2 linked regions of the Schizosaccharomyces pombe genome follow. The protein of the gene in region 1 purifies or fractionates together with the protein of each later gene. This does not show direct contact. Each region holds a gene or a part of one and is shown on either strand. Other genes may lie near its edges.

Region 1 (5,434 bases):
AATTTTGTAAAAAAAAAAAGAAAAGAAAAATTGGCATCCCGCAAATACGAATTAAGTTAAATTAAGTATTATGTGCTTTTCATGATTTCCTCTTCAGCAGTTGCTTTTTCCAAATTGTATTGGGACTCATCTGCCATGCTATAACTATCATGAACTTCCTTTTCAACGTCCTTCTTCGTTAACGCATCATTACGCTTGAACTCAAGTTGATTTTGTTCATCTTCCATAGCATCATAGTGGTGGAAGCAAACCCAAAACATAATACCAGCAATAAAGGCAGTGACGGCAATACCAGTGTACATCCAAGTAAGCTTAGGATTGACAGCAGTAGAAGAAATGCAAATAGATAGAATGGCACCGAATGCATTGGTGAACAAGAACAAAGCAGTAATAATGGATTTCATTGAAGGAGGGGCCTTGGTAAATGCAAATTCTAAACCAGTAATACTGGCAAAAATTTCAGAGAAAGCAATCAAAACGTAAGCAGGGATTTGGATCCAAACACTGATGTCATTGGAAACACATGTATCAGTAAAATTTGCATAGCAAGGGCCTCTTTGATAAATCTTTGCTTGTAAAACAGCAGCGTAAATCATGGAAGCAGTAGCAAACATAAACCCTAAAGTAATACGAAGGATGGGTTTGAAAGGGATGTTATACTTACGCAATAATGGATAGATGATATTGTCACAAATGGGAATGAAAATAATCAAGGCGATTGAATCGAAGGCTTGGAAAAGATCGTTAGAGACATTACCCGTTTGCATTTGTCCAGCTTGAGAAATTAAGTTGTTGGTCATTTGACCATAGCATACCCAATAGATAGGGTAAAAGAGAAAAGTTTTGCAGGCGCGTAAGGCACGTTTCAATTCGTCGATAAACAAGTCATCCCACTGATCCTTGAGCGTAACGCGTCCAACAGTAGTAGTGCAAGATGGTTTAGTTTTTTCGAGATTAAATTTGTTTTGAGCAGCAAGGAAGAACACTTGACCAACACGAACAAAGATGGAACCGGAGGGAGGAGTGTGCTTGTAAAAGCGCTTACTAACAGCCAAAATAATTAAGGGGATAACAAAGACGCACAAGGGAAGCAAGTATGCGTAAACAAAACCTTTAGTACTTTCCAAACTAGTGGTGGCTAATACGGAGAGAGAACCGACGTTAATTGACCAGTAGAAAATCATATAGGCACGAGAGGTGGTGACGACGGGGTCAACAATGACCTTGCTACCATTTTTCTTGGTCTTTACATAAGGAGGAATTTTTGGAAGCTGTTCAGCCATCAAGGGGGAAACATTGGATTTGATACCACCGGTTCCAAGACCAATGATGATCAAAGAGACGACAAACCCACCCATACTTTTTCCGGCATCAATGACAGAAGGAATAGCAGTACATGTAAGAATCAAGATACCAATAAAGTAAATGACAGCAGAGCAAACAATGGTATTGTACCTACCAAGGAATTGATCAGCAATAAGTGCAGCGCCAACCGGGGTGACATAACACCAAAATGTGAAGAAATTAGAAAGACCGTCAGCACCGCTTTCGCCTAAATTAAGGGCACCTGGAGTAGCATCCTTAGGACCGAATTGCATATAATTTTGAAAGGGAACAGTGAGACCATAGTAAGCGAAACGTTCGCAAAGCTCGACAATAATGATAATAAAGGCTTTCCAAGGAATAGTACCGCAAACACGAGGAAGGGTGGCTAATTCTTCTTCGGTAGGAGAAGGGTATAAGTCACCATTGACGAGGACGCCGGTGGACATGGATTTTTGGAGTTCATCGGTGGAGGATTGTTCGTCAGCGGTGTTGATGGTGGCAGAACCATCAGCCTTTTTCTCCTTGCTTAAGTAGGATTGATCTTCTGAAATGATGAAATCGGAGTCCGATTTCGTAATTTGTTCTTCAATGCTACTCATTGTAAACACAGGTAAATTGAATGTAGGAAATCGATCGTATGAAAATCAAAAATAATAATAAAAAAGAGAATGAACAGAAGTTTCAAGAACAATTTTTGGGTATAAAATAATTACAATGAAACGAGAAAACAAAAGAGGCGAATATTAAAAAAAAAAAAAGAGGAAGAGAAAAATAACGTAAACAAGCGAAAGATTAAAAAACAATTGTAGTACAAAAGATAAAAAAAAGAATAGATCAAAAATAATAATAATAATAATTAGTCAAACTAATTACACAAAATTGACAAGTGAATTCACAAAAAAGTTAAAATAAACACTTTTATATGTGTATCGAAGGCCGACTAACTCAACTAAGAGTAAGAAATATGAAAGTGAGTGAGAGTGAGAAAGGGTATTTAAAACAAGATTAAATATACACAACAACAAATAAGTATTTATGACAATAATAATAAAAAAAGAAAAATTTTTAGAATGAAAAAATTTTTCCTTAATGTATTAAATAAATACTTGGAAATTAAAAGTGTATGTATGTGAAAGTGTGGAGAAAGTCACAACTCCAAACAAAAGAGGTCAAACGATTAATTATACGAACGATGAGGAGTTTCCACTCAAGGTTTTTGAATTTCTCTTACTTCTAAAACACAGACTAGACGGCACGACGAAGGATGTCTTTTGAGGGGATAATTTTCAAGTATAAATACTGCTGAAAATGAAATTTGTCCACACTGATTTAGCAGTCACCACGTGTTCATGCACGCCTTTATCAATGACGGTGAGCAAAGCACGATAGGCGATAGACAAATCGTAAATGTAGGAAACGTGGTATGAAAAAGTTTATTATCTTCCCTACAGATAAATCAAAAAAGAGGGAGGACCGGTCTAGACTGCACATTTTTAATAATTAAGGTCAATGCGTGAAAGGTGGGTTTGATGGTTGATTGGATAAATCAAATGTTATTTCGGACAAAAACGTTAGTGCGGAATATCTATTTGATTAAAAATGCACGAGGAGTAACCATATCGCACAACGTGTGACCTGTTGGAAAAAGGGGTGAAAATTGGTAAATCCGCTGGAAATAGATAAGCTTGGATTTCTTCGTGTGATGCCGTTTTTTTCATCTACTCCACTATCATGCGGAAGGATTGCGCACTTGTTCAGTTGCGTGTTTTTGCTTAACGATAGAAAAAACTCGTGTACCTCCATTTAGGACTTTTGTGCCACCACATCGCATGGTTGAAGTGGAAAGTCGTACTTGACCGAAAAAGTGGGGATGAAATTGGGTACCAAGTGGGGTGCATGGAATTAAATGGTCAAGAGCACAACGTGCAGAGCATATGGAAAAAACGAGTAGCACGTTATAGTGCCAAAAATAGAAGTTTCACTACAGGAGTGAGAATGAGAGTGAGGAGAGGTATAGAAAGAATGTGAGACAATATAGTTAGTATATGTGAAAGTGAGAGTAAAAGGTATAAGTGTTACTATATGAGTATGGATGAGGATGAGGGAAAAGGTAGAAAAGAGATGACTGTCTATGTATTGTCATACATATTGTTATTTACAAACACATCCTCTACGTTTCTTATTCTCTCACGACGACATACAGGTGAACGAAGTTTTTCAATAATTTTAGAGGTTTGAGGGTTGAGTTGTATTCATTGCTTACTTGTAGTTTGCTCATTAATAATAATTACATATTTGTTAGATTCTTAATACTTTGCATATTTATTAAATTTATGTAATCGTTTGATGAGTGTTACATTGTTGTTTTTATTTATTTATTTAACCGTTGAATTCATTCCTTCTTCTCGACATCGGCCTTTACACCACGTTCGCGTGTCTCTTCTCTCTTGTTTCCTTCCCCGGGTATTCCGCGATTAGCGCTGGCGATTCACCAAGGTAAAACTATGTATGCGAATGGTGAGTGGTCTGCTGTAGCACGGTGTGTGCACGAGGAAACAAGGTCTTCTCTTTAAGAACCTCGAACCCGGTAAACATCGTGGGTGGCAGAGATAGTAAAAGCGACTAGTTCGCCTACCCCCACATGAATTGTCGCAAAGATGATGAGGGACGACAACAAGTAGGTAAGGTAAAGTAAAGTAAGAAAGGAAGAATAGTGATAGCATTAATAGTAGTGGGTATAACTGTCACGGAAATGAACATATCACACTCCAAAACGGACTTGTTGGTGTATGAGCAATTTTTCGCACCCATTTTCCCTCATTTTGCCAAATGAAACCATAATGCTGCAAGATTGCTGAAAGTATCGGGAAAGCCTAGTAAGAAATGGTCCAACTCGTTATGCAGCGATACCCTACCCTCCGTCAAGCAAACGAGATGGTTGTGTAAGGCGAGGCACAAGACTTCAAAAAGTATGCAAATTAGCAACAGATAGTATACCCTAAATTCCAAACGATATCTTCTATCACAGAATCAGATTTCTTATAGTAAGTTCATGATAACTTTGAAGAAACTTGAGTTTGATAGCATTAGTAAATAAATCCCCAATAACGAAGGAGTATGCAATGTCACATCGATATCTATGCTTCTAGCATTGCTGATTCTGACTTGACTTTTCTATCTCGTCGTCGGTGCACAAGTTGATACTACTTTGGCAGATGTTTCTCCTTTGAATTTATGAACTTTTAAACAAATTGCTTTTTGTTTCTATGCCCATTCCTTATCAATTGAAAAGGAGAGAGGAGAGAAAAGGAAAAAAAAAATTTGACCTCTTTTTGGTTTTTTGGTTTTTTTTTTTTTTTTTCGCTCTCTAAAACTTATCTACCACACCTCTTCGTCATGTAATTTGAACTATACTTTTCACGTTAAAAACCTTTTCCCCCTTTGATTCCGTCGAAAGTTTCACGGAACCAATGTTTCCAGTGTTTTCATAGAGTTAACAATGCATGTTTACCTACTAGTTGGAAAAAATTCGCAACACTTGTTACTAAGTGCTATAAACTGAACATTGCATTTTTCTATATTTTTTGCATGTTAATTATTTATTTCATTGAGCCGTCCATAATGCTTGTTTTCTTTGCGCCTACTTAACATCAAGTCGTTCTCGTCTTATCAATTGATCCTTCTGCTAATAGATTTTTTAAAGTAACAAACGTCTATAGAGACGCGCATTATGAAGTCCAACAAGTATCGCTAGTTTAATGATAAGTAAGGAAGGGTTTCATTTACGAATTGTCTTCTTTCAAACATAGGTTACTGTTTCCTTCTTTGATATTCGGGTACCTGCATATCACCCATATGTATTTCCTATTTCCGTTGATAAAATGTCATATCACTTAATTTTCTCTTCTCGTCATTTTTTATTCCGACCCTTGTTTTTATCGAACATTCGTTAAATCTATAGATAAACTCCAACGACCGCGTATTGTGTTGGGCAAATTTGCTTAACCCCTTGCTCTGTCTCTTCCGACTTCTTCTTTCCTTCTCTATCCATCCTATCTTACTATCATATCATTGAAATGTCTCGTGTCCGTGTAGGCGAGAATGACGG
Region 2 (5,434 bases), 200 kb from region 1:
CTGAGTGTCATAGTGGTTCCAAAACGCGAGCTTTCGAAACGGATTTGGATATAAAATTTGAGGAGCCCAGCACCTATCATATCACGAGCACAACAAACGGTAGTTGTTAATTTTAGGACTGATCGATCTATCGAAGTTGAATGTAGAAGCAAATATATTATATACATATATCGAGTATGAGAGCCAGATTATTGGACATTAACTTATTATCCGTTTGAGACTTCTTAGTTTTGTAAGTGCCATTGTTAAAAACTGTTTTTTCTCTTCGCACCTAATGTTTAAATCTGCTAAACTGGGTGAAAACACATTAAAACAAGTTATAATACATTTTACAATACCAAGGACTGTGTAATTAGTAAATGAACATTGAAGCAAATTACATTCATAGGCTATGCAAAATTAGCTACTTTTTTAAGCATAGTAAATCAGTGAAAATGACACAATTATTATTTAAAATTGAAAGATTGATTGGTACATATCAATACAACCAATGAAGCATCTAATTGTACGATACTAAAGAGAAACAACTGAAAACGGACAATTAGAAATTGGTCAACGATATTGACACTCAAACTCAAAAGAAGAAAACAGATTTAATGAAGAATATAAAATGCACGGATCATCGAAAAAGCCACCAAATCAAGCCCATTTACCTAACAAAGCCATAACTCCAGTACCAGCCATCGAGCATGCCAAAAGGTAAATAAGCTTATACCAGTTACGTTCTCTTTCAGGACTAAATAAGAAATCGTGTGCAAGTAATTCCACTAAACCAGCATAAACCAAAATTCCAGATGAGATAGCATCCAAAACACCTTGGGCAGCATAAGACCCATGAGCAAGAGGATCCCAATGCTCACGAACACCTAAACCAGCTGCCATACCAATAGGCGTAACCAACGAATAGATAACGCCCAACACCCAAGGTACCCATGCAGTTTTTGGGCCCCAGGCCATTCCCGCCAAACGAGAACCTAAACCACAACCTTCAAAGGCCTGATGGAAAATAATGACGGGAAATAAAGTTTTAAATTCTTCACCTGAGACGGCAGTTGTAAGACCGATAATAACACTATGCAAAATGATACTAGATTCAAGAATTATAAAGGCAGTAAGTTGTTGCTTTAGTAAGAAACTACGAGCTTCTTCTTTAGTAGTCAAATCGGTACTATCAGTATTCGTATAAGGTTCTAGTTTTACTTCTTCCAAGTCATCCTTTACACATTCATGCTCAACACCATCGGCACATTCTTCAATATCATAAACTGGATGTTCATGAACACCGTGAGCACCGTCTTCGTGACTATGACTGTGTTGTTTGGCACCAAGAGTTGGACCATGATGATCGCCGATTTCCATACCGAACCGCCATTCCACATAGCGATTCAAAAGGACCTCCAACAAGAGAATAAACCAACAAGAAATAAGACAAATACCTGGAGCCCAATCGTAACCTCCGAAAAGGTCGTCAAGACAAGGATCGTAAAGCTTGTTACAAGCAGGGGCTAACAAGTGAATAAAAGCAGTAGCCAAAATAACACCAGAACCAAAATAACGAGCGAATAGATAGAGATATTCAATATAAACGTTGGGTCTGTTTTTGGTGATTTTAGAAAGGACCAAAGGTAAGTTCATGCCAATTAATGAAGTAGCCAAGATAACAAAGATGGCACCAATACGATATCCCAGATGACCATATTCGTTGAATTCATTGGCATCACCTCCACAAGTCACAGTAGCAGAGCTATCATCGTCTCTTTTTACCAATGGACTATATTGCTTATTAAGAAAAAGATGTCTCAATATTTGGTGAGATTCTTGAGCAAGATATTGATTATATGAGTTAGATAAATTGTTTAAAGACATTTTAATGTACGAGAAAGATACAAGATATAACTCAACAGGGCAAAGTTTGTTTTCAACGAAAAACGTTAAAGAGAGTGAAAATGGAATAGAAATTTTTTAACAACCTCCGAGCTGAGCAGAACGAGTTAAAGGGAGCAATAAACTGAGAGGATAATAGTTTAATTAAGCAACGAGGAAATACCAAACGAAACCTGAAATCCAAAACCAAAAAAAATTAAAAAAAAAAATAACAAATGAGAAAGCGGGGAGTTGATTGAACGAACAATAATTAAGGGAAAAGCAAAATACGCGATAGGCGCACAGGAGGAAGACAAAAAGGGAATAGGTTGAAGTTGCAAAGAAAGATCTCCAAATAATCGATATTTTCTACCACAAAACAATAGCAAAATACCTTAGGAATCCAAAGTGGTTTAAAAAAACAAAACCAATACAAAAAATGAGTGATAAGATCTACAACCAAAAAAAAAAAGCGATCGTCCTTTTGGTTTTTTGGCTGATTGTATTCACTTAGTATTAGCAACGTAAGAGTTGAAGCAGGAGTGATCAGCAATCTCACTTGATAACGAAATCAATCAAAATAATCGTAAAACTGAACTTATAAACTGCCTTATTTTCTGCCAAATCAATCGATAAAGGATTTGCAGCGTAGAATACAAGATTGATAACGTACTCTAACAAAACCTAACAGAATACAAACAAAATACTCGGATCGTGGCTGGAATGAAAGGATCTGCTTTCTTTATATAAAGCCTTGGACTGTTTTTTTGACTGTCATTCTAATGATGTGCGAATCGACGTACAAGGGATAGCAACGACAGGTAACATGGTAATTTTGCACAGGAAAATTTGTACAGATCACCACGTATATCACTTGAAAGTCGGGATAACCAAGGTTTAAGGATCGACGCTTGAAAATAGGTAAGTAAATAAGCACCTCGAACCACCACACTAGATAGCAAACTGAATAAAAAGAAAACGACCCCAAGTGAAAGAAAATTCTTACAAACATTCAAATTAAAAAGAGAAATTTGAAGGATAGAACGAAGCAATGAATTAAGATTCGTTGAAATTCTATACTCTCAACACACACAAGTCGCATGTCCTTTTTGCATGACAACACATCACTTGACTAAATTGTAGACAGCATCTACTAAAAATAGGTAAATTTTATTTGCAGATTGACGTCGATCTGTCACAACCATCTTATTATTATTTCAGAAAAAAAAAAAGGACCAGTCGATGGTAGTATCGTAACTGGTGCCAAAAGGGGATCGCCACATGGAACAATCCATGATCTTTTTTTTTTGCACTATCAGAGGACGGAGTGTTTTAATACACTGCTTGAATACAGTTTAGTGTCAACTACAGTAAGACATTCAATTTTGACGAATAATTAAAATATTTTATATTGATTTTAAAAAGTATTTGATAATGAGCCCACCACTTTGGGAACAAATATGAAAATCAACTTAGGAGATTCAAGTCTAGAGCAATAAATCACGGGGAAAGTGTCATGACGATCGAACGCTTATCAGAAAATCCGATAATCATTTCTTTTTCCAACTTGAAGCAACTTAAAAAGAACTTGAAAGAAAAGCGTTACGTTCATAATGAGCTTGCACAAAAAGATTTACACATACCACATACCTTAGAAACACTGAGAATGAGAAATTTTTAAAGAAGTTCCTCTAATGCATTTTGCGCTCGGATTCGATGGTTTTCGGAATTTTAAATTTTGCCGAGTTGCGCAAACCTGGTGTAAATTGAAAAGGTAACCCTCGTACACAGGAGCTTCGTCGCACATTACTTCAAATAGACAATTGTTAAAAAATTGAATTTTTTTTACATGTCACTCTGTTTTATTATTGGGAATAGAGTAAATCTAGAAATTGTATGTGCTGATGTCTAATCACAATCTTGTTTGAGGCGGTAACTTATATGCTTTTTGTTAAGTGCTTTAGAGAAAGGACTCCAGGGTAGGAATCTTGGAAAAGCAGAATTTTTTTCTTTTTTTGAAACAAAAGATAAAGAATTTTGAGTCGCATTGGTATGTACTGCCAGTTTTATCTCAATATTTTTTGTATAGCTTTGTATGCAAGTTTTTCGCGGTACTATATAATTGTCGCTCTATCAGATCGAAATACTAAGCTGAAATTGATTTGCAAAGCTATAATAATATGAACAAGGGAAAAAAGAAGAGAGAAGGAAGCGAAAGCAATATTGAGCTTCTCTAGTTATCATCTTCTATAAACCAAATCTGCATTGTTTGTCCTGAACCTTTCTCTCGTTGTCCGTCAGCCAACATCTCTAGATTATTTATCGTTCCATGGATCGACATGTTCTGATTTATCGATCGCTGTTTTCGACGAAGATCCTAATAAAATTTCACTGCTTCTCCAAGAATATCCATATAACAAAAAAAAAAACGTAACAATTATAATTTTTTTTATTTAAGATGCAATATTTCTTTATTAATTCATTATATTTTTTATTATTAATTATTTATTTATTTAAATATTTATTGATTTATTGACCTCCTTCTATTGTTTTAAACATTTAAAATTCGAAACTATAAACAGTGCGTCCCTACAAGATGCCATTCGAAAATTTTCTAATAGAACTTGAAATTTGCACAAGGATCTAGTTTGTATCAAAACGCCATAATCAAGTAGTTCCCTTTTTTATATTCTCCGATCAATTTGCCCAGCGCTAAGAAACTTGTATAAGACAATATAAAGCATAAAAAATTATATATGGATTATATAACGATAAAATTTATTTTATTTTATTATGAATCATTTTACTATACAGCTAGAGATATTCTCCTTACTTTGCAGCAATATCTAATTGTCTCCGTTAAAAGATTGCATCGGGAATTTCTATGGGGTTTACCGTTTTCAAATGATTAATAATTTTTTCCCACAAATAATTGTACACCCCTCTCAAAGTTTCCTATACACATACAATTAGTTAAAAGAATATAATTAAATAAAGAAATTCTATAACATTAGTATATGAAATTGAGATTTCGATTGATTTAAATTTAAAGCTTTATGTTGCTTATAACCATGCTTTTGAATTCTGCCAAAGTATTAACTTTTATATCATAATTCATTCATTAATTTTACATTTCTGTAAATGGCTAATAAATAATTAACAAACATTATTATATATCAAGAGACCCATTTAAAACTCTTCATATTTAAGGCCGACTTAAATTTTCTCGGCGAAAAAACAACAAGTAACCAGCACTAACAGCAATTTGTGAAATCAAACAAATCCAAAACGGTGCACTTCTGAATATTTTTGCACCATCTTCGAACCTCCATGATGTCAAATCTAAAAAGACGAGTCCAGGACCAAGTCGATTTGGTGCGGTTGCCCTTGCTAACATTGAAGTCAACGTTCCGATAATTTGTCCAGCAATTAGAGTTGTAGCAATGTGCCTTCTAGTAAGTGTCTGCAATAAAATCATTCCAACCCCAACACCTTGTACCGAATCTAAGACACCCAGCCAAATCCATAAGATTCGACCAACAATTGGACCAGCTACTCCAGCCCATGGAAG

What was found.
Region 2: the proteins of ptr2 (region 1) and zrt1 purify together in Schizosaccharomyces pombe (co-purification; one study listed by BioGRID). This does not show direct contact.

Annotation. Positions count from the first base shown.
Region 1 is NC_003423.3:3,405,768-3,411,201, forward strand, and holds the start of ptr2 (PTR family peptide transporter), read right to left. Parts: upstream 2,593-5,434; 5' UTR 1,926-2,592; coding exon 69-1,925; 3' UTR 1-68. UniProt on the Schizosaccharomyces pombe protein: Uptake of small peptides.
Region 2 is NC_003423.3:3,604,322-3,609,755, reverse strand, and holds zrt1 (plasma membrane ZIP zinc transmembrane transporter Zrt1), read right to left. Parts: upstream 2,580-5,434; 5' UTR 1,867-2,579; coding exon 640-1,866; 3' UTR 426-639; downstream 1-425. Other genes in the region: histone deacetylase, Sirtuin family, NAD-dependent Sir2, read left to right, coding at 1-110; cell wall alpha-1,3-glucan synthase Mok13, read right to left, coding at 5,069-5,434. UniProt on the Schizosaccharomyces pombe protein: High-affinity zinc transport protein. Regulates intracellular zinc levels.